Kluyveromyces lactis: one gene and its partner. The protein of the gene in region 1 interacts with the protein of each later gene in a biochemical or structural test. Links are inferred from orthologs where the notes say so. Each region holds a gene or a part of one and is shown in the gene's direction. Other genes may lie near its edges. The genes, in order: SSM4 and UBC6.

Region 1 (4,268 bases):
TTTCCAACTTGCCGTATTTGTATGCTGGAAGGAACGTCCGATAATCCGTTGTTCCATCCATGCAAGTGCAAAGGCTCCATCAAATATATTCATCAATTATGTTTGATCGAATGGCTACAGTCAAAACATGTCGATGTTACAAAACCTGGTGCAGGGATGGTATGTTCGATTTGTAATCATCCAATCGCGTTCCAAACTTTGTATGATGAATCAATGCCAGAGAAGATCCCACTTCTACTTCTTCTGAAACATAGCGTTTTCAAAATCTTTGGCAAATTAAATCACTATTTCAAATTCACATTGATTGCGTTCCTTTTCTTCATTGGAATTCCCCTGTCCTGGAATATCTGGGGGAAGCTATATACGGCTACTGTGGATGATTTTTCATTTCCTTCAAATAACAAATGGTATATCAATTTGATTTATGGCTTTGAAAGAAACATACCAAAAAATCCAACAACTACGGATATTTTATATCAACTAGTGATAAATTACAGATTTTCGTTGTTACAAATTCTGATGGTTTTGATCGTGCATGCTATCGCATATTTACAATATGATATGGTAGTCAGAGAGCCAATTTTCAATAAGATGATCTTGCATAAGATTGGACCAAGATTTTCAAAACAAGAGCTGGCCATGCAGTCATTAAGAGAAAGATTTCCAAATATGGATCCAAATGATATAAGCATGCTCATAAATGCCCTCAATAGACAACGACAAGACGATCCAAATGAAGATGATACTTCAGAAGACGAACAAGAACAGAACAATTTCATCGTAAACGAAAATAATGATGAGCCTCAGCTTGCCAACTAACTATAATCCCCCATTTAAATATTTACGATATTGATAATCTTCATATTGAAACATTGCATCAGCCTTCACTCCAGTTCGAAATAAACTTCTATATACAATATAATTCCCTCGTTGTCCCATCAAATCATTCACTTGCTTTAGTAAAACATGCTAGCCCATTAGATTCTCAAAGATGAATTTGGTATTACCCGGCTTATAATGGAAATTGAAATTTGAAGAAGGAAATTTCAACATGGGCGCAGACAATCAGTATATACATCGTCGACTGATCTCGTTTCACAACTAAGTACAACAGGTTAACAATATTTAATCTTTGCTACAATTGTATAGCTGTTGAAGTTGAATAATTATATCATAGAAACTGAATCTTCAACTTGAGTTTTCCGCATTAGATCCCTGCATTACTCTTTTCTTCTGATCACAATATCATATTTCTTCTGCAACATATTCATATCATTACCAATTAGCTGAGTTATTAATCGACTGTACTTTTAATTCACAATCCATTATGGAAAGACACTTTGCACAAAGAGAACTCGATGGGCGGTTGGATGCTCAACTCGGACGACCTCAGCCTGTTGAAGGAGAAGTACAAGAAGATGGAATAAATGCTCAACCAGCGGTTGTACTAGAGAATGAAGATGGTCAACCTACGGCTATCTTGAATTTAAATCTTGATTACAAATATTTACCGAGCTACTTTTCCTTAGTCTTTTCTGTCATTGGTGGATATCTTTTCATTTCATACGCTTTAGCCACACTTGTCGGATATCTGTTGAATTTCATTTATTTTAGAGTTGTGATTATAATGCTGAATGGAGTAATAGTGTCAGCAGAGAGGTTAAATATCCCAGAATACAATCAAAAGCTTATAGAAACTTTTTCTTTGGTATCCTACGTTGAAAATTGGATTAATGGGACAGTTTTAATGCCAATAGTATCGTACTATCAGGGATACATGAAAGGCACAGCAAAACATACGATGCTGGTACGAATGTTGGCGCCAGCCAGTACATATGCGACTTTCATAGTTCTTTGTTGCTGTATACCAGAACTGTTATCTAGAGGGCATTCCAAGAAGCTACCTCTAAAGAATTCTTTGAAAAGAACGATTTTCAAGTTTTCCTATATCATCAAGTGCACATTGAAAGTGCTAGGGTTGTTTACACTTGAACTTGCCGGATTTCCGATTTTAGCGGGGTTTTTGATTGATGTGTCACTGATCTCACCGCTATTATTACCACAGAGCAGCTTGACTTTCGTACCGAGTTTTTGTTCCTTTTGGCCGCCTATGACATTTATTATTTATTGGGCGATTGGTACTGTTTATATGTATCATTTTGCTCAATATGTCGGCATGGTAAGACAATATATTATCAGACCGGGTGTTCTTTTCTTCATAAGATCACCAGATGATCCTAATATTAAGCTATTACAGGATTCTTTGATATACCCAATGAAACTTCAACTCTCCAGACTTGCATTGTCGATGGCAATCTATACAGCATTCATTTTAGTAGGTTTTGGATTTCATACGAGACTTTTGTTTCCTTACATTTTACATTCGGAACTTTTACCTATGAAGCATGGATTGTCAACTCTCATAAAACCAAATTCTATGTTTTCTATTGCAGTCATTGCTGGAACGTATCTCATTCTCTCGAAGAATAGAGTTATTGATGCTTATGTTAGACAATATTGGGTCTTTGTATTCAATATATGCTGCAGAAAACTAAGACTTTCCTCTTTCATCTTAGGAAAAGATTCACCAACTGAGAGAGGACATGTTATTTATAGGAACTTTTACTATAAATGGTTCGTCCCAAACAAGGCAAAACTGTCCAACCTAGAATTATACTCTCATCCAAAATCGCTCGATGAAACCTATACTCTTTTCAAAACTATTCCTGATGTTCACGCATATTTTGTCCCCGATGGCACCATGATGCGCGTACCTGCGAGCGACATAATATCAAAAAAATATGCACAATTGTTGTTCGTCCCAGTTACTAAGGATGACAAACTTCTAAAGCCATTGGATATCGAAAAAATCAAAGAAAGACAGAAACGAAATGCCGGAGAATTTGGCTACCTAGAAAAACAGCCCACGGAATTTGATGAATATAAGGTAGTTTATGTCCCTCCGCATTTTACTTTCACTTATTCGCTGTTAATTGTCTTCATATGGATCTTTGCTTCCCTTTTGTTTACTGCTGTGTTATTAATCTCAAATTTTGCTGGGCTTCCCATTATCACTGGATTGCAATTATTGTTGAATGCGGTTATCCCCCCAGCAATGAAATTTCAAAATGAACTCTATGAAAGTGTAAAACCATTAAATCTTCTTTCCGTTTCTTCTGGTATGATACTTTTGTCTCTCGCTTTGTCATCCTACCACGCACATCTATTAAATAATATCCATCTAAATGACAGAATATTGGAGGTTAATGCCGAACACAATGGGGATGTTCCAAATAACGGTCCAAACGACGATAATCATCAGCATATAGTTCACAATGATGATAATATTCCCGAAAATGATGAAAATCCAGTAGCCAATGAATTTAGAGTACCGGAAATTGCTGAAGGTGATGTTTGGAACTTGATCAAAGGCTTTGTAACAATGGTGTATCCAGTCTTTACATTCTACTTTATGCCAATCATTTTCAAGTTGAATATCAATTATCATTCGGTCTTCATATTCACCTACTTCAAAGATTTCTACTGGAAAGGCGACGTTCTCGAAAACACAAGCCCTGATATATCGTTTGTTCCATTCCTTTCGAACCTCGCATCAAAATCAGAATACAGCGGCTATTCAGCTTACTCATTAATAGCTGCTCTATTGTTTTGTCAAGTAGCAGCAGTGGCGTACATCGCGGTACAGTGCAGTTTGAAGCGGAATAAAACATTAGGATTCAGAAGATTACTCATTAGGGTCACGGATATATGCTTTGTGTACCTCGTTGCAATGATTGCGGTACCTTTTGCTCTGCAATATAGTTTTTCTATGTTTGAATTCCTTACCCACAAACAAGTTTACACCTCTTCATGGGCACCATTTGTTTATTTCATTTTCATACAGCCTTCTGTCTCGGCAGATCATTCCCTTATGACTACATTTCAAAAGGCATTCTACTACGTTGATGTAGTGACGATTTCCTCGGCGTTCCTAACTGTGAGCTCAATTTTATCCAAGTCGCTTTACAATTCTTTATCTCAAAGTGTGAGAGACGAAGTGTATGCAAGAGGAAGGATACTAAAAAACTTTGAAGAATAGTTTGATCAGTCAAGATGTCTTTATAGATTTATTAGCGAAATTTTTTTATTCAATGAATTATTTTATCTAGTCTTACCATTAAAATTTATTACTTACGACTGGGAAGTAAAATGATGGAAAACAGGATATGTAGCTATTTAGATGCAAATTGATCGAAAAAGCTGGCTTT
Region 2 (2,926 bases), on another chromosome or scaffold:
TGCAGATCCAGAGAAGATACCATGAGTGACAATGGCCAATACCTCCTTAGCACCATGCTCTAATAGTGTATCTGACGCCTTAACCAAGGTACCACATGTATCAGCCATGTCATCGATCAATAGACATGACTTCCCTGTAACATCACCCACAAGCACCATACGAGAAACCTCGTTAGCCTTTTGTCTTTCCTTATGGATTAACGCGAAGTTCAAATCTAGCTTATCTGCCAGAGAAGCAACTCTCTTAGCACCGCCGGCATCAGGCGATACAAGGATCGCATTACCGATGTCAGTTTTATGTTGAATATATTTTAGAACACTTGGTTCGGCGTAAAGATTATCCACAGGAATATGGAAGAAACCTTGAATTTGAGAAGCATGTAGGTCCATAGTGATGACGTGATCACATCCAGCAGTTTCCAACATCTGTGCTACTAATTTCGCTGTGATTGGAGCACGAGATTTATCCTTTTTATCCTGTCTTGCATATGGAAAATTCGGAATCACGGCAGTGATTCTTCTAGCAGAAGCTGTTCTGCATGCATGAATTATAATCAATAATTCCATCAAGAAATCGTTAATCTCTTGCTCCCCTGTACCAGTTTGAATAATGTACACGTCCTCATCACGTATACTCTCCCCGATAGTGACAGAAGTTTCCTGATTAGAGTACTGGTAAACTCCGATGTTGGACAAGCGCAACCCAAGGGTTCTAGCAATATTCTGAGCTAGCTCGGGATGAGAGTTACCAGCCAATAATTTGATGCTATTGGTACTCATTCTTTTACTCGTTTCCATACAGTATGTATATGGTAGATATTACGTTCCAAAAAACCGAAACCAGAGCACCAGATGCAACCAAATATGGAAATTGGATATGGCAACAGCAACTGTCTAAACGATATAGTTGATTATTTCGGACTTTGGTCCTTATCTACAAGTTAATTACTTTCTTGATGTGATTTTCGACTCATTCAAATTTGTATCTTTTCATGATAAAAAACTCTGTTTAAAGCTTTTCATTCTTCCATTAGATATTCCGTACATAATACTATAAGGTGACATGACATAATGATATTTGGCAGAAACAAAGACTAGACAGCAGTAGTTGGCAGCAAATACTGTCATTTCAGCGAACATAGTAAATTAGGTCGTAATACTTTCAGCTGTTAGGCTTTTCCTCGTGGTGAGTACCCCAGATTTTCCCCTTTTTATAGAGAATCCACTGACATTTGAATCGAATTTTTTATGTATTTAAGAAACTTTTATTTAACTTTAAGGTTTTTTGTATCTTCTGCCAAAATGAGAGAAAGAATGCTTTTGTATTGCAATGTTGAAGGATCTAGGAAGGTCAAGAACAGTATATTGTCCGCTGCGAAAGACTTACACAAGTGTTTCCTGTTTTGAAGTTCCAATCTATCGCTCGTTACCATCCCAGTATCTCATATTTGCGTGTTAAAAGGTACGATGGCAAGTATACAGGCTAACAAAAGGTTGACTAAGGAATACAAGAACATTGTTAACAACCCTCCTCCATTCATTATTGCAGCACCACATGAAGATAACATATTAGAATGGCATTACGTGATTACCGGTCCACCTAGCACTCCGTATGAGAATGGTCAATATCATGGAACGTTAACTTTCCCTTCAGACTACCCATTTAATCCACCGGCGATTCGCATGATTACGCCTAACGGCAGATTCAAGGAAAATACTAGACTATGTCTTTCGATGAGTGATTATCATCCAGAGGCGTGGAACCCAGCATGGTCTGTAGTGACTATATTGAATGGCCTTTTAAGTTTCATGACAGGTGATGAACAGACAACGGGGTCGGTGTCAACCTCTGATAAGGATAAAAGGACTCTGGCTAAGAAATCGAAACATTTTAATACTTATAGCAATTTCAAATTCAAGAATATGTTCCCTGATTTAAGAGAGTCGAATATTAAGGACATAGAGAGGGAGGCTGCTTTGGAAGCGGAATCCAAAGGAGCACAACAAGAGGAAAATAAAGCACAGAAACTAGCCACGGAGAAAGCAACTTCACTAGACGACATTTCGGATCCTGAGGATCGAGTAAGAATTCAAGAGCTTATAAAGGCCGAGAAGGATAAGAAAGATCAGGATAAAAATCCTGGCGAGAATAGCAACATCAAATCGCTGCTTTGTCTGATCTTGGCTATTGCGATTTTTTTCGTCGGTTTAATAATGAAATGAGTTCATCAAATATGTTAGCATCTTCTAGGCTCTAAGTGTTGTACAGTATAGTATTATTGATATTATGTTTCCAACTATGGCCACAACAGCGGTTCATATGATCTCGTCACCTGAGATTTCAACAATTTAAGACGGCGTTACATAAAAAATATATAAATAGTCAATTCATAAGAGACAATTAGAACAAAAAAACATACAAAATTAAAAATATCACAATGATTATAAGCCGTAGCCATATCATTGGTCATTTTTGTCGTTCAACATCTTTTCATAAATTCATTTCGCAAGATATTAGCACATATTCATAAGTGCAGCTTAAAGTTCAAAACTTCTCTACCTTTAAAACAACTTTACCATGTGCACGGCCTGTCTGCAGATAGGAAAATGCCTTTTGATGTTCTTTCCAATCATATACCCTATCTACAGGAATAAACTTGACAACTTCACTTTCTATTAGCTCATGACATTTTTTTGGCCATTCATTTGTCGCTAATTTGGCATTTGGATCAAAATAAAACATTTGATAATCGAAAGACCATAGCACCTGTCCGAACAGCTTTCTAATATTAGAACTTGCAGTACCCCATGAATTAAAAGTATCTTTCTTGTAATTCGATTTATTATCGCCAACGGTTGTGATGTAAGTAGCATCTTTGGACAAAATGGAAGAAGAGTGACCGATAATGTCATACCCTCCAATAAA

The links.
Region 2: the proteins of SSM4 (region 1) and UBC6 form a complex in vitro, tested with the Saccharomyces cerevisiae proteins (4 studies listed by BioGRID, with this or other methods). The link is inferred for Kluyveromyces lactis from reciprocal best matches to the Saccharomyces cerevisiae genes SSM4 and UBC6.

What each region holds. Positions count from the first base shown.
Region 1 is NC_006042.1:2,566,121-2,570,388, reverse strand, and holds SSM4 (E3 ubiquitin-protein ligase SSM4), read left to right. Parts: upstream 1-1,327; coding exon 1,328-4,099; downstream 4,100-4,268. Other genes in the region: KLLA0_F27709g (uncharacterized protein), read left to right, coding at 1-819; SUMO protease ULP2, read right to left, coding at 4,233-4,268. UniProt on the Saccharomyces cerevisiae protein: E3 ubiquitin-protein ligase which accepts ubiquitin specifically from endoplasmic reticulum-associated UBC6 and UBC7 E2 ligases, and transfers it to substrates promoting their degradation.
Region 2 is NC_006041.1:1,813,151-1,816,076, forward strand, and holds UBC6 (E2 ubiquitin-conjugating protein UBC6), read left to right. Parts: upstream 1-1,467; coding exon 1,468-2,223; downstream 2,224-2,926. Other genes in the region: KLLA0_E20373g (ribose-phosphate diphosphokinase), read right to left, coding at 1-798; KLLA0_E20417g (uncharacterized protein), read right to left, coding at 2,546-2,926. UniProt on the Saccharomyces cerevisiae protein: Catalyzes the covalent attachment of ubiquitin to other proteins. Functions in degradation of misfolded or regulated proteins localized in the endoplasmic reticulum (ER) lumen or membrane via the ubiquitin-proteasome system.